3 linked regions of the Struthio camelus genome follow. The protein of the gene in region 1 interacts with the protein of each later gene in a pairwise test. Links are inferred from orthologs where the notes say so. Each region holds a gene or a part of one and is shown in the gene's direction. Other genes may lie near its edges.

Evidence for each region.
Region 2: the proteins of PRKG1 (region 1) and FAM124A interact in binary tests that used the Homo sapiens proteins (3 or more experiments, as listed by UniProt). The two-hybrid records come from large-scale screens. The link is inferred for Struthio camelus from reciprocal best matches to the Homo sapiens genes PRKG1 and FAM124A.
Region 3: the proteins of PRKG1 (region 1) and IRAG1 interact in a two-hybrid assay, tested with the Homo sapiens proteins (2 studies listed by BioGRID). The link is inferred for Struthio camelus from reciprocal best matches to the Homo sapiens genes PRKG1 and IRAG1.

What each region holds. Positions count from the first base shown.
Region 1 is NC_090948.1:42,921,919-42,929,841, reverse strand, and holds the start of PRKG1 (cGMP-dependent protein kinase 1), read left to right. Parts: upstream 1-4,894; 5' UTR 4,895-4,958; coding exon 4,959-5,269; intron 5,270-5,536; exon of another isoform or gene 5,537-5,551; intron 5,552-7,923. UniProt on the Homo sapiens protein: Serine/threonine protein kinase that acts as a key mediator of the nitric oxide (NO)/cGMP signaling pathway. GMP binding activates PRKG1, which phosphorylates serines and threonines on many cellular proteins.
Region 2 is NC_090942.1:193,537,290-193,544,280, forward strand, and holds the start of FAM124A (protein FAM124A), read left to right. Parts: upstream 1-3,948; 5' UTR 3,949-4,056; coding exon 4,057-4,115; intron 4,116-6,334; exon of another isoform or gene 6,335-6,346; intron 6,347-6,991.
Region 3 is NC_090946.1:24,140,821-24,147,841, reverse strand, and holds the start of IRAG1 (inositol 1,4,5-triphosphate receptor associated 1), read left to right. Parts: upstream 1-4,015; 5' UTR 4,016-4,030; coding exon 4,031-4,054; intron 4,055-7,021.

The sequences.
Region 1 (7,923 bases):
TATTATACCGTTGTAACGTCTCATCATTTTGCCTTGCGTGACACAAGCATTCATTTCGGTGTTATTATGTATGCCTCTAATGTGATATAAAAAGCTAAGCATATTACCAATTACAGTGCAGCACACTATTATTTTTTTTCTTGTCTCTGCAGTGAGCATTTTTTGTCAGTTAATAGATCTTGGGGTATTTTTCTCATACACTGTCTACTCAGAATGATCCTTATACTGGGAGGATTTCCTAGGGCAGGCTGGAACAGTTGCCTGTTCTTCACAAGAGCTACTTCTCAGTGTTTCTTAGTGATAATGGAGGAAAAAAAAAAGGAATCTACATGCTAAAGAAAAACCTCGAGATAATCCAGCTGAGACGTTGATTCGACTTCACTTGGGAATCAGTGGGGTTTAAGAGACAGCACACACCACACAAGTGTATCTCCAGCCCTCCGAGGGGGAAGAATAAATGGGTCTTGATTCTCATTTTTAATTGATTCTACATTCATCAATGCTGTGTGCAGGGAGAGGCTCGAGAAAGGCCCAAAATGAGGAATGTCCAATGTCACGAGCTAATAGGGCTTCGTTGTCAGAGAGAAATGGGACTGAAGCACTCCCCAGATACTGCTGATTCCTGCTCCTTGGTCTCGGTGAGGCGGCTCTGCGATGCTGTAGTTCTAGCTTCATCGGTATCCTTGGGAGCTGAATTATTCCCCAGCTGCCCTTTGAGGACATAAGATAAGTTTGTCTCAGCTGGGAGCCGCCAAGGAAAAGTCGGATGTGTTGGTGTTTCAGTAGGTGGCACTCCTTCCTCTGTGTCGGCATGAGTTTTGGGCCGGTGGTGGAGGTAGCATCCCACAGTTGAGACGCGGTGGCTTTCACAGACGAACTGCAAATCAAGTGGGTTATGGCATGCTTTTTGCAAGAGTTCAGCTTATGTGCGTGCTACCTTTCAGTATGTCTTTCTGTATTTTTAGTCGGCCTCACATCGTAAAGGTGTTACTCTGAGTAAGCATATAGGCAACGTACTCTGCTTTGCAAGTGTCTCTGTTCCCAGCAGCGGCTAAAGTCACGTGGGTGCTATACCTGCCAATTCTTCCCGAATCCGCACAAAGCTAAGACAAGCAGGGAAATCCGCTGCAAAAGCCAAACAGTTCAACTTTTGCTTTCTGCTGCAGGCCGGTCTGCTCCTGTAGACATTTTGGGGAAGGCGTAAGGAATGGATTGCAATGAATTAGGCAGGGAAAAAAAAAAAAAAAAGGCACGTCCAGGAGGAGGGAAATGTTTATGTATGTACTCCGTCATGCACCCCTAGCTTCTCCTTCCTTGCTGTCCTGGCTGGCTCTGGCAACGTGACGTTTGCCTGTCAGCGATCCAGCTTCATACCTGAGTTTTGATTGGCGAGCTCCGCGCGATGTTTTCGGAATAGGGAGCCTTCAAACATGTTTTGAGCGTCGAAGATGGCAGCTGAGTGGGTGCGTTTGGTGACAGATGATCCTTGAAAGGTTTAGAAGCCAAGCTATTAAAACCCAGAAGCTGTGCGCGGAGGAAATATTGTGAGTGTATCAGAACCTGTGCGGGCAGAGGAGAAGAAGAAACACTGATGTTTCGTGGGGAAGCCCGTGATTGCCAGTAGCAAGCAAGCCCCGGCGGTGTTTTGGGGTAGAGCTCAAGCCCTCTGTAGGATTTTTTTTTGTTTGGTTTGGTTTGGTTTTTCCAGTCTGCTGCTTACTGACATCGGGGCCGGGTGAGACACAGTATTGCAGTGGTCCGATCAGAAAGAGGCTTTGGGACCTGGAGGAAGTTTGGCTGCTGGCTCCCGTAACAAACTACAAGCCGGCTTCGTGTTGTCGTCCCCGGACCAAGGCCCTTCGTTGCGTTCCTGCCACGCGTCCATGTAAAGCTTTTTTCTTTCCGTACGCTCGATTGAGAAGACAAAGCAGCTGCTCTGAAAACCCGAGTGTTTTGCTGGGAACTTTAAGTTGAAAAGAACGGGATCAGAGGATTTATTTTGATCGGACTGGGGCAGCGGGATCTCCGTGCTGCTGAGACTGCAAGGCGGCCGATACCCCGAAAGCCCTGAAGCGTGAGCCGCACGGGCAGCTGCGGTCCCCCAACCCCACTCGTCTGCTGGTTTCTTCGGAAGAGCAGTAAACAACCAAAACCAGGCAGCCGTCTGCAGCCTTCACAGGACAGGGCTCTGCTGACAGGTTGTAGACCTTTCGGCTTCCTTGGTCTCATCTTGAAGGCTGGCCTTGGATTTACGGCTGCTCACCACAAATCTCCGACTGTCACGTAAAATCTCTCTTTGGCTCTCGGAGGTCTTATGAGACCAGGAGAATGGGCTTTCCACCTGTAAATAAATATTTTCTTTAGCTATCATTAGCCGAGTTCCCGGCCAGTTTTATTTCCCGTAAAGCCAGCGGCAGCAATCTCAGGGATACACTAAAGAGCAGATATGCGAGTTTCTATAACCACTGTGGAGAAATACTTGTAAGAGAGCATCCTAAGCATACGATGCCTCATCAAACACGTCAGCCCTGACAGCCTACGCCTCTGTCAAGCAGCATTTGTGATGTTTTTCTCCGAGTCCTTTCTGATGTTACTGTTGTCTCAGTCCCAGGCTGCGCACCTCTAATAGAAACTAAGTAATACGGCTTTGCTGCCTTAAAATGGAAATGTTCAGAGGATATTTAGTACTTTTGCTCCTAGTGAGTTATGTAAGATGTAAATGGAGGAAATATATAGCACCCCCCACCCAAAAAAAAAAAAAAGTCTGAACTTAAAGCGCGTTGTCAGCCCATGGAAAAGACCACTGAACTTTGAGTTTGTGCCTACCAAATGCATCAAGAAGACTTAAAACTGAAGCATTTTACATAAGCCAAATCTGTTTTTTCACGTGCCCCTTGAAAAATGCAGGAGGTACCAAACACATTGCAGAACCTGCAAAGTCTCATGCAAGATTTATTAGAAGAATCCAGGCCCTTGCAGACAACCGCTTTGAATAGGGGAGTAGTTGTAATTCCTCATCTGTTCGTTGTTTTTTTTTTTTTTTTAATTTTATAAAGACCATCTGCAGGTTGAAAGCTGGAACTCTGGACTCAGCCGAGCGCCAGTGTGTAACAGGAGAAAAACAAAAGCAAAACCCATAAACGCTGTCTCTCATTTCCAACTAATGCCCAAGTTGGAGGTCTGGACAGCCCTGCCAATGGCAGATACAAATGTGCAGCTACCACCCACCTCCAAAAAAAAATGTATCCATCACTACATCCTCCCCAAATCCAACTCCCAGAAAGGGAACGGGAACAGCTGCTTCTGGCGCCTTGGAAACATCCAAGCATGCTGCTCTGGCGGCTGAGCACTGCAAAAGCTCTTGGGGGCACCTACATCTGGCTGGGCGGGGGGGGGGGGGGATTTCTACCCCATCTCCTCCAAACCATACAGTCTTCTCGGGAGACCAAACCCAGCCATACTTTTTGCCCACAGATCCCTCTCTGCGTCCAAGGGGGCCAAGTCCGGGAGCTGTATCTGTCACAGCATACATCATCGTCCTTTTTCTGTGCTAGCAAAAGGCAGGCAAGAAAAAGAAAACAGAGCCATTTGGCACCGAAGGCTCGGCTGATCCGGCTCATTTGTTTTGTTTTGTTATTTTTGTGCCGCAAACCCATAAACAGTATTGCATAGGTAGACCCAAAGTGCCACCGTGGCTTAGCACGTGGAAAGTCCTGGAGCGCGATGCACCGTGCTCGCATTCCTGGAAAATCCTGACGTGTCTGGTGCAGCAGAATCTACTTTACACCTCCATATAGGTATTGGGGCTACACAGAAAGTGCACCCATATTTTAATGTGCTTTTTTAGTGCTATGGGACCCATAAGCACTGCCTCCAGATTTTTTCCAGCGAAGACATACTTGACCGATATTTACCTTAAGACCTGAGGGATTGGAGCCCAAAGCTCAGGCTGAGCAGGAGCCATGCCGTTGCCCGGTGCTGGCTCGTGCTTTCTGTTACAGAAGACAGTGAAAACGGGCTGTAAAGAAATCCTAAGCACGCGATAAGGTGGGCAGGTTCTGTAGGAACAAGTAGCACTTTTGGTTCAAGGAGACGGTGGGACGGGAGAAGAGCAGGGCACAGCCCCGACAGCGGGGCGCGGGATGCTTGGGAGCGCGAGGGGCGATTTTTGCAGCCTTCTCCCAGTGTGGGGACGGGTTCGCCGCCCTCCAGCCGGCGCAGCGTGGGAGCGGAGGGTTTGCAAACGCTGCCCTTGGCCCAGGCCCCTGGCCCCGGGACCTCTGCAGCCGGCTCCTGCTCGCAGCCGAGGGGAGCTTGTGGGCGCCCACGGGGCTGCCCGTGAGCCTCCCCCCCCCCCCCCGCTCCCCGGGGGTTTCAGAGGGAGAAGCCCGGCCGGAGCCCCTAGCAGTGCCGCGGGGAGCCCCCGGCCGGGGGGCGCGCAGCCGCGGGCGGGGAGCGGAGGGCCGCGGGTTCGCGCCCCGCTCGCCCCCCTCGGGGGTGGTGGGGGGGGAGCCGGGCCGTGCGGGGCGTTGGGAGCCGGCGGCCGCCTTTTGGGGAGGGAGGGGGAAAGGAGGGAGCGGCGGCGCGGCGAAAGTGCATGTGCATCCTTGCAGACGCCCCTTCCTCCGTGCCTTCCCTCCCTCCTCCTCCTCCTCCGTGTGTGTGTGGTGTGTGTGTAATGTGTGTGTGTGTGTGTGTGCGTCTCGCTCCCTCTCCAGTCTAGCCTGACGCAGGCAGATCGAAATCACCCCTGAGGAGCCGGGCTGCGGAGCGCGGTGCGGCGGGGGTCCGGCTGCCCCGGGGCGGAGCGGGCCCGGGGCCGGAGGCAGCGCCCCGGCGGCGGCGGCGGCGGCGGGGAAGTTGGCCCAAGTGCGGGGAGGCAGCCGGCGGGGGGGGGGGGGGAAAGTTGCCGGGAGAGGCGAGGGGCGAGCCGGGCAGCGGCGGCAGCGGCCAGGAGCATGGGCACTTTGCGGGATTTACAGTACGCGCTGCAGGAGAAGATCGAGGAGCTGCGGCAGCGGGATGCGCTCATCGACGAGCTGGAGCTGGAGTTGGACCAGAAGGACGAACTGATCCAGAAGCTGCAGAACGAGCTGGACAAGTACCGCTCCGTGATCCGGCCCGCCACGCAGCAGGCGCAGCAGCAAAGCGCCGGCACCTTGCAGGGGGAGCAGAGGACCAAGAGGCAGGCGATTTCAGCCGAGCCCACCGCCTTCGACATCCAGGACCTCAGCCACGTCACCCTGCCCTTCTACCCCAAGAGCCCACAGTAAGCGGCGGGTCGCAGCCCTGCGGGAGCGAGAGCCCCTCTGCCTCTGGGGAGCGGAGCGCCGGCAGAGCCGCTCGGGCGGGCGCTGCCCCCCCCCCCCCGCGGCGTGCGGCATGCCGGAGGGCAGACCCCCCCCTCCCCAAAACCAACCCCTTCCCCTTCCTGGGCAGCCGCATTGCTGCTGCCTTCCCCCCCCCCACCCCGCCCCAACCAAGAGAGTTTTTTTTTGGGGGGGGGGGGGGCAAGTTGTTGCTGCGTTCCCGAGGGTGGGAAAGTTGCGAGGTGTGAGTTGGGGGTGTGTTTGGCTGGTGGGATGTGGGGGGGGGGTCGGGCCAAGCTCGCGAGTGGGTGCTGAGGTGGAGGGGACAACCGCCCCCCCCCCCCGCACCCCAAATCCCCTTCCTTCCCTCGGCGACAAGTTTGCGTCGAGGCAGGCGGGCACCTCGGAGAGTTTTTGGTCGGGGAGGTGGGGGGGGGGGAGGAGGTTGGTTGGGACCGGAGCTTCTGGACTTCGGGAAGGGAAGGGAGGAAGGCGGCGGCCGCCGGGGAGCCTCCCCCGTCCCGTCAAAGGCGAGCGAGGGGGCGGAAAGTCGCGGCCGGGCGGTTGTCCCCCCCCCCCCCCAGTTGAAATCCCTCGCTCGACGTAGTCGCAGGCTGGAAGAGAGGGGCCTCGTCAAGCCCAAACCCGCCTGCTGTTTAGGGCTGGCCGGTTTTTGTGTGTCCCCCCACCCCCTGCTGGGGAACAGGAGGGAAGGAGCCTGCTCGGCTCGGAAAGGGTCCTTCAGAGGAGGGTCCTTCGGTCTGTCCTCCTCGTGTGTCCCTCTGGGGAGCGGGTCGGTGTATGGGACTATATGGGTTTTTTTTTTTCCTTTTTTTTTTTTTTAAATGATATAGTGGCAGGAGTAGCCCAAAAGGGAGGGGGGGGGTTGGTTCGTCAAGAGCCGGCGATGGCGGCTCAATGGCAGGTGCAGGCGGCCTTTGGCTTCGCCCAGGTGCGGCCGAGGCGGAGCGCGCCGCCGCCGCCGCCTCCTCGCCTCAGGCAGGTGCGCGGGCCGCGGCCTGGCCCAACCGCCATGGCGGGTCCCCGCCGTCTCCTAGCAACGGCCGCCTGCTCCTGGGCGGGGGGAGGGGGAGATGGCGGCGGCCTGGCCTGGCCTGGCCTGGCCTGGCCTGGCCTCGCCTCGCCCTCCCCCCCCCCCCAGCCCGAGCTTTCGCCACAGATATTTTGCCCTTTTAAGGCGAATCGCCGCTGCGTTGAGTTTAATAAAGAGCGGCGGGGAGTAGAGGAGCGGGACCCGAGAAGGAGGGGGAAGCGCTTCGCTGGGGGGGGAACGGACGGACGGACGGACGGACGGACGGACGGACGGACAGCCCCCCCGGTGCCCTCTGCGCAGGCAGGGACGCGTGGTCGGGCTGTGTGTGAAGGAGCCTTCAGCAGCTGTGGGCGATGTCCTGTGATGTTTCGGGGCGGGGGGGGACAGCGACACGGCTCAGAGGTGGCAGTTCTTGCGCCTGAGCTGCTAGATGGAGCCGCCGGCTCTCCCCTGGCCTACCGAGACCCTTCGGCTGTAGGCGGACCGAGTCCTGAATCTCTGCTGCCTACCGGAAAACGTACAGGAAACCTGTCAAAGCCTTGAATTAACTTCCCCCCCCCACCCCCCGGCTTCAATCTAACCTCTCATTCCTCAAGTTCCTCCGTTCAGTTTTACTTAGGGATAAGGCAGGCCACTTGCCTGAAGCGGCGTTCAGTATTGACCTCCCGTGGTCGGCGGTACCCATGACATTGTTTTCAGCTCCCGTAACTGCTTTGTGCCGTGATCACTGAGGGAAAAAGGTGACTCGTTTCGCTGCGACAAGTCATGAGGCTGTGCTGGAGCGCAATAGTCCCCTCTTCTCCAGAGCGTTCGCTGCCTTCTGAGATGAGCCGCGTGATGGTGATGAGGAGCGCCCACGCCTGCAGGTGGATGGACGCCCACCGGGCTAGCGCCACGTCTTCTGGACGTAAACTGTCCTCTCAGGTGCTTACCGCAACCTGTAAGTCAGGGCGCTGACGAGCACTTGTAATTTGCGTGTCCAAACGTAACCTGGATTAGCCGGATTTAGCGGTGCGGCAACTGGGAGAGGAAGCACAGGTCGGCTTAAATTGTCGGGATCATGACTGCCCTAAATCATGCCTTTTCCTGTACTTCTCCGCACGAGCCCCAAATATGGCTTATATAGTGCTCCTGTGTGCTTGCAAGGAACCTCTTGTCTTGATTATATTAAAAACGTGGCACAAAGTCTTTAGGCTATTTTGATGTTGTATATAACCATTTATGGCAGCAATAGAGGAAAAGGCAGAGAGGCTCTGGAAGCGTGGGTATATACTCAAAATAAGTTTCAGAGCATACAAGGCTTTATTTGCTGTTGCAGGGCTGGGCCGCTATAATTTTCCCTATAAATTTATCTTGCTGATGTGAAACTGGACTTTGGGCTCGCGTGAGTTTATACCTAAAATATACAGAGGGACACATCTTGCCATTTTCTTCGGGGTTAAAAGACCAGTGAGAGAAGTCAGATATTTGCCTCTACATGAGTCTTTGTATTTGAGTGACTAGGAAGAAGTTGCCTAAAATAAGAGTTGTTCTCCCCACCCTTCCCTACCCCCAGTGGAA
Region 2 (6,991 bases), on another chromosome or scaffold:
CTTTTGCTTCCTCTTATCCTTCAGCACACGTATGATCTGACATGGGTTCATCCACGCAGCTCTTCGTGATGTCTTTATCCCCCTTCAAGGCTGCAGCTATCACTTTTCCGCACTGTGTTCTCAGTTACTAAAGACTAAGATCATTATGTGAGGGAGGTGGGAGGAGGTTTTACTGCCTGCATTTGCTTCTGCAAGGATGGAGGTCTCAGCAGCTGGTGGTTGCAATTAGGTACTGCTCAGCTCTGGTATGAGGTAAACTGGTTAGCCTTGTAAATTCTAGACATATAGCATTAGGGATATTGAAAATTTTAAATTAAAAATGTAAGTTGCCTTTGAAGGTTAGGCATCTCCTAATCAGCCACAGTGTGGAATCACAGATTCGAACTCAGGCATTTAAATTTTCTTTACATCCTCCTTTAAGTTAAGTTATATTTTAGATCTGGTCCTACACAACTAACAGCAAGAGAACTCTCTGCAGAACAGGCATTAATTTCATGTCCTCAGTGTTAGTTCCATTACTTTTTGATAAGAGAGTGGTTTATTTTTTTGGCTTCTTTGAAGATTTCTCCTGATACTTTTATGTCTGACAGCCTTTGTGACCACTGCTATTAAATGCTGCTTAATGAAAGGCTTGAAATTTGGGGAAATTTAACCCAAGAATATTTTCACTATTATCCTTACCTTGAAACTGGTATCACAGACTCATAAATACAAGAGAGTAAATAAAACGTAACTTCTTTTTTCAACAGACCATACAGAAGAGCTAATGTGAAGAAATGATAACAGAGAAATGCTAAGTAAAAGCAAGGACATAACACCTCATTCATTAGAATCTCTGAAATGCCGAGAATTTATTGCAGAGAAGACTTCTTTTCACCATAATTACGTGAAAGACCAGAATAAAACTGAGTTAAATGAGGCAAATATATAAATAAGAGAGTCTAGAGTTTGTGGTAGCTTTACTTACTGTCTTAATTATATATTTTCTTTAGAATGTTTCTTTTTTCCCTCCCTTGGACAGATGGAGTAAATTAATCCTAAATGCAGCATAAAATCTATTCCAGATCCTCTCATATGCCAGTGCTTAAACATAACTAACTAGGATAATAAAAGTCAGAGACAGAAAAGATGTATTAGCTGACCACCTAAAATTTTACATGCAGAAATGTATCATTTTAACTAAATCTATTTCTAAATATTTAAGAAGGTTTGGTTACATCTTAAATCACATCAACAGTGGCTAAACTCAATTTATTTGACTTTGAGATTACACTTAAAAGTGAGTGGGAATGACCTGCTTTTAAATAGAGTTGTACTGATTAAATAAATTTGTGTGTGTAGACTAAGAATCAGAGAGACAGCAGGGTCTGTGCAGTGCTGGTACTACAGAATACTGAATATGTCCTTTGGGACGTTCAGTGTCCTCCATAGTCATTACAGTCGTTAGAGAGGAAATCTTTAGCTGTTTCAGAACAGGAGCCCGAACTGGGAAGCGAGATATACTGAATTCTTGTCTCAATTTTGCCATGGTGTTGCCTTGGGCAAATCACTTAATACACAATGTCTGAAAACATGTTAAGGCCTTTTACCTGAATGTGGTGATTCCAATACTAAGAAGTTGAGGACCAGATTCTGCCACAGTTATTCTCACAGCCTGGCACAGCGCCTTGGTCCCAACCCTAAAAAAAATTACACACATTTAATTTTGCACATATAAGGAAATTGCTTTAGATGGTATAGTCTACCAGTCAGGAAGGATGGAAGAGTTTGTTTTTGTATTTTTGGAACTATTATACATATGCCAGTATAGAACTGATGTGTATCAAGAACCTTTTATAGCATTTTGCCCAAACTAGCATTTAGTAACTTGCTAGAGGAAAGAGGGAAGAGGGACTCCAGTTAAGGGGGCTTCTTCCATACCTAGCGCATTATTTTTATTGGGATATTATTTATGTTAAGCCCTCCACATAAACTGAAAAATCATCTATATTGTTTTTAAAATGACATGTGTGCAAATCAAGGCAGATAGTCAAAACATTTTAAACACTAAGGTCCCCATACACCACTAGGATTTTTTTCCAGTACTTGATGAATAGATACAGGAACTAGAAAGTTTCTTCTAAATATCACTGGGGATACATAGTGGACTGATCTGTGATACCCACAGGTCCCAGGGCTGCACATGAGTTCAGTGTCCCTTCCGTGGTGGGACAACAGGAATTCACTGCTTTATCGACTTAGCAGTTTCGTTATGAGCATTTCCGGCGTTGATGCATGTTCATTGCTCCTACAGTGTGCTAAAAAGACCTTTGGTGTTGTTTCCAAGTCACTCTTTCTGTTTGATTTTACAATGTTCCTAGCTACATATAGATTATTTTAGAGAGCCAATGCCATACACCACTAGAGACATCAGTGGCACGAAGTACACACAGCTTGAGCCTGCTAAACGATGTTAGTTGTTACTATTAAATTGTGTTAGCGCATGCCTACACATGGCTCACTCTACTACTGACAGTATTCAAATGAAGGACATCGATGTCAGACTATGTAGACAACTAAACTAGCTCAGCAATTCTTTTGACAATGTAAGATTGTCTTGTACAGTGCATTTCTACAGTCTGGTCCAGTCTGGTATTTTATGTTTCAAATACTGAGATTTTCATCATTTTCCTTCTTCCCTGTGAGGTACAAATAAAAAAAGGTGGAACAAAATACTTATTTTTTAATTTTTTTTTGCTTGTGATCTGGAAGTGGCTGTCTCCTGCAGCTGACAGAAATTAGGCAGTCATTGGTGATTTTTTGAGAGAAAATTCCAGTTCCTCAAAGGTGAAATTTTCCATACAACATTAATGGAAAAGGTTTCCTAGTTTCCAAGGTGGAGTCATCATCTTCTTTTTTTTTTTTTTTAAGTCGTCCCATAACATCTCAATTGCAGGGAGCACAGGAGTACTGACTTTTAGCTTTATGCTTGACCCTGATTCAGGAGACGCATGATTTGTTTCAGGTTGGAGACAAATCAGTTCTGCCCCCTTCCCTTATGATCTGTTCGGGCCTGAACAACCAAACAGACTAACAAATGACTGACGTTTTGGCTGAGTGCGATCTAGGTTCACATCCCTGTGTTGGTGAATATTTACACCAAATGTGAGTGACTGAGAAAAGGAGAAGTGTTCAAATACAAAACAAGGCTGGTGGGCAGGAGATGTGCAGAATACAGGAGCCCATTTCCTGCTTATAGTTCAACCTCTTTGAATGCAACTGCCCCACTAGTGGTAAGTCTTGCTACATCAGTATTTCTCCCCTGGAAGCCTCAGAGCAAAGTGGTTTTTCCTTCATTATTACAGAAATTCTCACAGGGCTAGGAAACCATTCCCTGTCCGTTTTTGCACATCATTTCAAAATAATGATATTTAATATAACGAGTGCGTGCCAGGTGACACTCAGGGGGCAAGAGAAAGCTCAGCACAGCCTAAGACTTCAAAGAGAAGACAGGGATAGCACCTACCCCAAAAATGAAAAGAAGATGGATAGCAAAGAGACAGGTGCCTTTAACTTCCAACAGATACAGGCACCACACCTCTTAGCCCTTCTCTCTACTGGAAGAATAGCAGCGATATAAGGAGGCTGCGGCAGTGCTTGCTAACGCAGGCATGATGATGCATGAGGAGTTTCTAACACGTGAGGGCTGGAATAGGACGATCCCTCAGCACGTGCGAGCGCAACAAGGGTGCCCCGAGGTATTTTGCCGGCGAGATTGGGGTATTTTGGGGTGGGGGGAGCACCGAGCCCCATGATGCAGGCGCTCCCTCCCCCTCCCCCCCCGCCTCAGTGCTCCGCGCGGCCGTTAACGGCTGAAGAGGGGGGGCGCGCGCGCGGCCGTTAACGGCTGGGGGAGGGGGCGCGCGCGCCGCCGCCCTGCCCCGCCCCGCCCCGCCCCGCCCCGCCCCTCCCCTCAGCGGGGCGTGCGCGCGGCGGAGCGGTTCTCTCCGCCGCCGCCCGCACACGGCGCAGCGGGACGAGCAGCTCCGGCGGCCATGGAGCTCTGACGCCTCCACCATGGACAAGAAGCCCGGCGGCGAGGATGAGTGCGTGGACTCGGGAGCCGAGACGGGCGGGTGAGTGAGTCGCGGGGTGACCGGCGGCCGCACCCCCCCCCCTTCCACCTCCCCGCGGTGGCGGAGCGGCTCCTGCCCCGCGGCCGCAGCTGCTCCCGCCCGCCCGGCCGCCCGCCCGCTGCACTTGTTGTCGGCGCCCTCCGCCGAGCGCGCCCCGCGGCGGCCCCGGGGAGCGGGTGTTTCCTCGCAGGCTTTGTGTCCCGGCATGCGGCAGCCAGCAGTGGGATTTTTCCCTCCCTGCCTGCCGGGCAGCACCCCTCGCGTGTAGTTTTCTGGCTAACTGTCATGTTTTAACCCACCCGCGCTTGCTGTGGGTAGGTGAGAGGCCGCGGGCCAGCGTGGGGTTGGGGGGCGCCGAGGTGGCTGCGGCGGAGCCCTCCCGGCCGCTGCGGTCCCCTGGGGAGCAGGGAGCACTCCTACCTCGGAGGATTGCCGTGTTTTAAAGGCCCCGGTGGTCCGCCCTCTCCTGTGGTCGAGTTAGGGAAGAGCTCCCCATCGTCCTCGTCTTACACGTGGGGACCAAGATGCGAAGGTGTCACGGTGCTGTGTTTCAAGTGTGAGCCCCAAACCAACTCCTGCGACTTCACCGGTGGGGCCTGGTGCTGTGCTTCATGGGCCATCAGCAGGTGCCAGAGTGTGGTGCTCAGGGTTTGGTTCTGCCCCATCCCTCTGTGTCCCCTGATAATCCGTGTTAAGGATGGCTGGGAAGGTGCCTGTCCTAGCCTGTCACCATCTCCCATCAGCCCTTGTGGCAGAAACCTTGCCAGCATCAGGCAGACAGGCTGAGTCCTTGGAGGGACCATCGGAGCGCCACAGAGGCAGGTTAGGTTGGTAGCACCCCGGAACTGGGTTGCTGCTCTCGTGATTCTCACCATACTGACCTGTGAAGTGCCATAAGCTCTTTTGGTAGTTGTCCAACCTGTAAGTGTATAAGAGGCATGGAGAGTGACAGTTCAACCTGTGTCATACAAGAGTCAAGGAGAGTTTTATCTGGCTCTGTGCCCCAGCTGCCAGAGGTACAGTGTGTTTGAAAGTTAGATGACTTGCCCTAATATCATGGGGCTGCAAGGATGAGTCATGGGATCCCCAGTTCTGACTGCTGCAGATCCCAACTCCAACCTGTCTCTGTGGTGGAGAGAGGGAGGCTCTTTCCGGCCCATTTTACATGCTGTTGCCGTGTTGTCTTGTCAGGAACGGTGGTGAGCCCTTGCTCATTCTTTGGATCCAGAGGGACAAAATGAGGTTGCCTGTTCGCTTTGCTCTGTTCTCTCCTAGGTCTTCATTTTCCTCCATCCTAGCTTTCTCAGCCGTGTTCCTCCTGGCTCCTCGCCTGGTCTTTCTCCCTTGGTCTTGAGTCTGACCGCCTCATGGGTGTGAGGGTGTAACACACAAACGGGGTTGGACAGCGTTCCTGTTTTTTCTTTGACCCTGTCTGCCTTGCTGCTGTAAAAGCACATGCTGAGATTCAGAGAAAAGGGAGCACCCTAATCTCAAACTGATGCAAGTAAATAAAAGTGCTTACTGTTTGTGTCAGGGCACTGTGCTTAAGTATGAGACTGAGAGCATAAAGGAACTGTAAAGCTAATTCTTGATTGTGAAGTGGTGGCACTGTACCCAAATTAAAGTAGCAATATTATAATCTTTTTTTAAAAGTTTTGGATGAAAATGGAATATTGCAATCTTTTTTCGTACATCCAACTATTCATTTAAATCAAAATTTTTGGTTTTGAACTCCTCTGTCATCAGAGAAGTTGTGGACTCTTTTCCTTTCACTATAAATTGTTGCAGTATTGCAGTATGGTGAAAGTTTTAAAATATTTTATGTGGCATCAGCATAAAGGAAAAAATGCAGGCCACCTTCCTAGTCCTTGGGACAACAGTTTTTTAGTTCATCTTTGGGGAATGTGGATAAGATTAAGACAGCATAATTGGTGAATTCATGGCTAGTTGAAAGCTCAAGAAATCCCTGATGGGTCAAGTCACTCTTAATTTGTTGAGCTTATCCAGAATAGAAAAACCTGCATTTTGTTGGGAGGGGCACTTGGAAGGATTTGACCCAGATGATAACATTAGCCTTTAGACCTTAGTGATCAGCAGGACAGCTGCTCATGTCTGGCGCTGATGAGGTGTTAAAGCTGATGATTTTATGAAGCATCTTTGTTGCAGGCTTGACACTGGAAGGCAGAGTTTAACAGTAGAGGCTGTTGGAGGAATTTTAATCGTGGCATATGGTAATTAATAAGTGCAGTTCCTTTCCCTGAATTTTATTTTGGGGGGGAAAAAAACAGACCTCTGCATTTCAGTTTTATTTTTTGTTCTATTTAGCAGCTATTTTTAGTTCATCTAGTTCATTTAGTCTGATAAACATGACACGTATGTCCCTTTCACAATGTTTATATTTCAGTTTTCTCACCAAGCCAACTGTTCACAGTGCTTGCCTTTTCTTCTTAGTGAAGATCTGCCTTTTACTTTATCTAAGTCCTATAATAGCTATTGCCAAATTGAACTGTCCTTGTTCTCCAATTACTCAAATATTAAAAAAAAAAAAAAAGGTTTTTAAGTTCAGCCATCATCCTATGAATGTCCTATGTATTAGGAGAGACAACTGTCAAAGTAATTCAGTAACAGTTTCACATCAAGTGGTCTCTTTCTGTCACTCAAAGAACAGTATTGTATAGTGACTGTAGAGTAAATCCAGGCGCTGCAAGCCATTGTCACCTTGATGATGGTATACGAGGATGTGTGAGCTCTTATGGAATCTGTAGTGCTGAAACCATTTATAGCAACTAATAAATCTAATACATTAAATGTTCTAGATGGCATATGTTTCTTCACGTTTTGCTATGGCTTTTGCTATGGCTTCCAGCTACAGAGCA
Region 3 (7,021 bases), on another chromosome or scaffold:
CTACAAGTTGAGAAACACATTAACTCTGCCTTGAGACCTGCCTAATTTTTCCTTAATATCACATATGCCATTTTGTTCACCAAATACATATTTTAAAGTATACCAGAGTTCCGCCTGGCTGGTTGCATGGTGGCTATCTGACTGAGCTCTGCTCCTTGACTTCTTGGCCTTCTGGAAGAAAGCCTGCTGGGGGTGGAAGAGAGAAAAAATGAGGTCAGTAAGAAGTAGGATGAAGAAAATTAATGTTTGCCAGTTAGCAGAGCTCATGGGAACATAGATATCTACGAATGGTAGAGTGCTTTTTACACAAAACAAGGAAAAGAATTTTTGAAAATGATAATGGGAAAAGTAGTTAGGAGGGATTAGTTGCAATTTAAATGCAGGCGGCGTATCTAATAACTTCTGGACCGTGAGATCTGTTTAGGCAGTTAGGAGTGTTTCACAGCCTAATGTAATATTGGGTGTACTTGTGCAGTAAGTAAATCATGTGTGGCAAAGGTTTGTTATGTGACTTGCAAAGATAATTTCCTGTGAGGTAAAGGATCTACCATCTTTCAAATCTTAAATTTCTACCTCATTCAATATTGGATAAAAATTTGAGCATTAACCTTTAGTAAGCCCTAAGAAATACGTAGGTGGCTTTCACTGTTATGTTGGAAAGACTGATCATGTGGCTTCGCACTCACTTGCATTTCTTTCACTTTGTGAAGAAGCTCTCTTGCTGTTGAGCTATGAAACATGCAGGGGTACTTGAAGAGCAGTAATAAAATGGACTGTGTAGATAGGGAAAAAAGGAAAGGAGAGATGCATGTATTGTTTTCTCTTGTGCCACGAAGAGTCCTTGGCTGTATTCATTTTAAAGTTCTGTACTTTGGAGATAACATCTTAAAAGGGACCCTGGAAGCAGCTGCCAGTTGAATTAATGTAACACTAGTTTCTGCTGGACCCAGTGAGGGGAAACAGATGGACAAAGGCCTTAGGGTCTGAATCACTTAGGAAGTACTACTGTCCCCTTGGTTCTCCCGCCCCTGTGGTCCCCACTGTGGGGAATGGAGAATGTCAGCTTCTTGCGATGGCAAGATTAGGGAGAAGTCTCTGCTCTAAGAACCTTGCAGACATTTCCTGTCCCATGGCTCCCTTTGGCTCTCCTTTCCATACAAGGACTAGGTCCAATAACTTAGGCACATACTTAACCTGATAAAATCATATTACTGGAGTTTTGTCTTAAACTGATTAGTTCAAAGAAAAACCCAGAATGAACAGAACCTAGCAATGAAGCAGAACGTAATTTTTGTAAACTTATACACAACTCCTCCGTCGATTTACTTTCAAGGGGAGGTAATGCTACTTGTGACCTAATTTTCTTTAAGTTCTTCTTAGTGCTAAATAAAAACAAAAATGGAAAACAAGGACTCTTCTCCCAAAACCAAGTCATTTAGAAAAGTTTGATTCATGCAGTATTAACTCCCAATTGCCCAAAAGAAGTGGAATCCAGAAATTTTAAGGCTGTTTAAGGGACGCTGTCCTTAAAAGAAAATCTCATCTTTTTTTTTTGCCTGGGTATATTAGTTGAAGATGTACGTGAAGTTCTGGCCTTCAGTATTTCTAAAACTTTATATCCTTTGCTTGCTTGCTGATTGTCTTCAATATAAGATTCAACCTAGAATTCTTGTAAAAAGAAAAAAAGTTGTAAGTTGCTCCTCAGTTGGCTTTACTGCAAGATAGTTAAACCTAAACACTGATCAGTAACAGAATGGAAATTATGTAAATAATACTAAAACAAGATAAAGCTGACTGATACTCTTTCACTGCAAAAACATTGTTTGCAGATACAATTGCAATCTTTTAGTAAGTCCTAAACTCGCATTTAACTATGTTAAAATAGTTATTGACTGTGTGTAAAATCAGTGTTCAACTGATTTTTCTTTTAATGGATAAGAAAAAAATCTAAAGCTGAGATCAAAATGAATTCTACGGGAGTCACGTACAACTGCCAGAAAACATTATTTGTGAAACTCTGTGGGAATTAGTTATCAGATTTCTTTAAACTCTGAAATAAAGATACATAACCAAATGCCTTCCTGTTGGAGTTGGTCTTATTGGTAATGGACATAGTATCACCCCCCTCCCCTTTATTTATTTATTTATTTATTTGGTCTCAGCAGAGACTCATACCGTAATTAGACATCAGTAGGGGTATTCTCTTGATTGCTCCGAATTAGATCAGGCTGGACATATATCAGAACGTTTTCTGAAGCTTAAATTTGACTCACCCAGTGTTGTATTTATTTTATAAGTAAAGAAAGAACTCTAGTTTTTCCAGCGTTGTCCAATACTTCCTGCTTGTCATAACTTTTCTCTTGTCTCGTTTAACCATGTTAACGTTAAGTTTTATGTGTTCCTGAGCTATCGGGAAAATAGGAAGTAGAAAAGCAGGTTCTTTCCTGTAGTGCATCTTTGTAAAGTAAGTAACTCCCTTGTGGGTGTTACAAGGCCTGTGGGCTTTGTAAAGACTATGCCCAAACAGAAGTTTGTTAGAAGATGGGGACATTTGCTGTATTCTTCTTGCACTTTTGTTAGTTTCCTTCTTTGTGTTCTTCTGTACTTTTTAGATTTGTATTTTCCGATATTTTTTAGGGTGTAAGACAAGACCAAAAAAATTAAATGGATTAAGTTAAGCTAAAAAGTCAAATATTAGAAAGTTTTATGTTGAAAATATTATTGTGACAAAATTATTCAAATTTATCTCTTGGCTCTGAGGTTGCAACTTGGAAGAGTTCAGTTGTCTAGAAATATCATTTAAATTGCTCGGGGGATAATTGCAATACTTCTCAGGATGAAAGCTGAAAGCTGAGACACTTTGAATTCACATACTAGTTACACATGCTTTGCATGCCCCAGTAGTATTGTTCTGTATCTTGTAAATAGGAACACCACTTAATTTGTCTTCCAGGTTCTGCCTTGTACAGTTGTATGGATTTTAATGTAGAACTTGGATCGTTAGCGTTATCACAGAGCGTATTTTATATTAGGCCTGGAGCTATAACCATGTGTTTTAGTAAACTATGATTGAAGCAGTTTCTTAATATCTTGCAAACTTAGGCATTAAATTAATATGAGAAACCAACTTAGTATTGTAAAAATTAGATGCAGTAGAAAGCTGTTGTTATTTTATCCGTGTTGCAGACAATAGCGTCTCACAATTTCCTTGTAGTATCTTTTGTTATATAGGGCAAGAATGTAAATGAGTCAACTGTAACTGTGCATTTTTTTCCTTTTCCAGTGGATGTTTCTATTATACAAAATTTTTGAACCCCCAGTGTAGAGTCTAAAAGGTTTTCTGTTAAGACATTCTGAATCTGATTTTCAGTGTTTTAAAATTTTTTGAGATAGCCCAATGTATGCCAGCAAATGATGTTTATGCATTTTAAATATTATAACAGTGGTTTGTGTTTGAAAAGCTTATCATATGGTACAAAGCATAGGAAAACACCCTGTTTTGCTGACATTTTATTTGAATGAAATAACAACTTAGTGTTTCTTAAGTAACTCAGAGTTACAAAAGCTAACTGAAAATGCTCCGTGAATTTCATATGCTTTCACACCTATATAAAGGGAGTATAAAAAGCCTCCCTTTCTAACATTTTACACCCGCTTTGCAGGACAACAGAGAGTCACAAAAAGGACTTCAAAATTCTTCAGTTCAGCTGTGTTCATAATGAGTATGTAACTCCCATTGCTGACAGATGAGTTGCTTGACTTTGCTGGAGGCAGTATGAGGTCAAGAAATCTTACTAAAATGCCTTCTTAACTGTTTATTTCTGCTCTTTATATATGTATATGTGTATATATGTGTGTATGTATATATGTGTGTGTGTATGTATATATCTGTATATATGCACATACACACACATGTATTTGAGATATCTATGTATATTTTGCTATGATTTGACAGAGCATTTGAGGTCAGCTGTCAAACTAGCAGTGGAGATGGAGTAAGGCACCTTTATTCTAAGCTTTTGCTAACACAATGCTCAGCTGTGACTCAGAGATGGTAAGTTAACTGATTATACTTAGCTTTCTCTACTATGGTAAAATGAGTTGCAGAGGGAACAGTCTGAAAGCCAAGGGCCTCTGAATAGTTTTCCCTTTTATGGAATAGAGCTCCTAGATCACCATTTCCTGGAGATTGTATTCTAAGCCTACACAGTGGTAAAAGAAGGTTCTCTGCATTCACTGATCTATATCTGACTACAAATTTGAGCTCAGGAGATCTTTTCTTTTTTTCCTAACTATTTTAAGCAGTAAGATTACAATAACAGACCAAAACACTGAAAAGCACTATGTGTGCTCTCCTGCGTTTTTTTTTTTTTTCCAACTCATTTTGTTAGGTGCAAAAGGCTCTCGCAGACTAAGGTTCTAGATCTTCACCCACATCCATTCCTGCGGTAGTTGAGTTAGAAAACTCTGCAAGTATTTAATTTTAAGTGGTAATTTTGAAGCTCTTGCAATCTTGAAAGGACTGAAATTGTGTTGGGATCACAGTAATGTCATGACAGACTTCTGTAGGATGGAAGTAGGTCAGACAGAGTTTGATCAATGCCTAACACAAATGAAGAGAAAATCTTGTAATTGGTGTAGTAACTAGGCCACTAAGATATTCTCATGCACTTTGGCCGTTTCTAAAGTGCAGATATATTTTCTTATCTACCCTTTCAGTATCTTCAGGGACAGTAATTCCAGTTGTTTCAGTTGGTATCTTGCTGTATTATATCATTTTCTTCTTTGACTGAAACGTGGTTATGCTTGTGGAAAGGAGATAAAGCTGGCAAAGCTAATTGCAGCATGATTTCAAAGGCTGCTCAGCTGGCAGGAGAACCAGGCTATAACCGGGATAATTATGTTCTCTACACTTTGGTGCAGAGTTCAATAAGCTTGTAAGCTGTTTTTGTAGAGAGGTGTGGAACAGGGTTCAAAGCTGTACTACTTCTTCCTAATGCTCTACTGAGGGTGAAAGAAATCATATAGCTCATGAATTAAGCTATTTTCTTATGTATTTTGATAAAATACTGGTAATTAGTAGCCCTTGCTTGCTTTGATGTCCCAGCAGACTGCAGCAGTGTGGTCAAGAGTATGCAAACATTGCACTTTTTTCAGAACGTGAATAATCAACAGCAATCAATCAGCAGCAAGCTTTTGCTGCTCCGGTAGAGCCCTCAACACTGAGTTTTGGGGGAGAAATATTAGGAACAAAAGGAAGGTCAAAAGAAGGCATTTTCCTTCTAATCAGCACCACAAAGTTTAAGAACTATTTCCTGTTTGTAAGATAGCTCTGTGAGGAAGTTGGAGTAAGGTCCTAATTGTGTCAGAGACTGGCTGAACTCAGTCCACTCCAAATCTGGGTGTTGCTAAGGTGGCCTAAGGTCATCCCCCTACCCTCCATTCCCGCTTGGCTGTACTTTCTGTGCTACATCTCTAAGACAACACAGCTCAGGATTTGTCCTTTTCTATTCTTAGATAAGCCTATTTTGTGTGTGCGTGTCTGGGGGTTTTGTTTTGTTTTGTTCTTTTAAAATTTTTGTTTTGCTTTTTCAATCTGAAAAAGGAACTGAACCTTGATATGCTTAATGGCTCGCTCTTGTTTCAATGTGATTTGCATTACTTTAAGTTTAGTGTGTATTAGGGAGCCCACTAACACAGGGAATCGACTAGGACACATTAGCCTGTACCGCTCTATATAGGACTCCACAAATACGCTTTGGACATGGCTTGGAACATTCCTGATTTTTTCAGGCCCAGTGTTCTGTTGAGTTGAGCCTATCAGAATCATTATAACTTCATAAAGCAATCACTAACGGGTTACATAAACATCCAAATTTGTATCTTCTCTTTTGCTTTGTTTTTGTTTGAATTTATTATGTTCTTGCAAAGTCAGAAATTGCTTCAGATGCCAGGATTCGGTTAGAGATGAAAAGCAAATCCATGTCACTTTCTGAGTTACCTTGGCTGTGTCTCATCTTCATGTGATTTTAATAGTTGGTGACTGTTGCTTCATACAAAAATACTTAACTGTTGAAACACGTAGAGGTTTAATGTTACTGTTATCTGCCTAATCTCTGTGGGTTGATTAAAATACATATACTCATAAATGTCTGTTCTGCATCATATTAGGAATTTAAAAAACATTTTGCCCTAATAAACATTTCAAAATCTTGTTTTTATTTATGGAATACTTCCTCTACTTTTACTTGCAGTCAGAAATGGGTACAATCATGATACAAATATGAGCTTCCACTTACTTCAGCAGAGCTAAAATTTCACCTTAATGTGTTCAATATGCGTACAAAAACTTGAAACATGGGATCTACCTACAATGATTAGCACATCCTGCTTCTGAAAAAAGTTATGTTCACTGTGGAAAAAGTGAAATCCTTATCTTGGTCTTCATAATCAGATAATTTCTTTTGTACCTTTTCTATTGTCCTTACTAAAGAACTTCAGTGGAATTATTATTGTTTTTAAACACACTAACACTTGTGTATAGATGTCATTGTGACACTCTGTTAATTCTGCATTAAATTTCATATGAGGAGACCTTATTTCTGACTCTTCTAGCAAAAGAGAAATGTATAAACTGTAACGTGAAATAAATCTAATGAAAGTGTTGGTCTTAGCTGCTTCCGTAGGCCAAAATTTTGCAGATCCTGTAGGTTTTATAAGTTCTGTGAAAGCTTTGGCGAGGAACCTGTCACTACTGAGGCTGCTTCAGTATCCATGTGACTTTTAAAATCAATCCCAGCGTTATGACAATTTTAGTCATCAGCCTGGATAAACAAGCATGTTCCTGAATAAATTTCCCTACCCTTTCCTGAAATGGAAGGCAGAACTTTAGAAGATCATTCTTACAACTCTGTCGAAGGCCTTGAACTTTAAATTACTTCCTGATCCCCACCTTTTTTGCCCCATCTGTCTTGATTTCCAGAAAAAGAAAACAATAGAGAGGAGATTAGTAATTCCGATC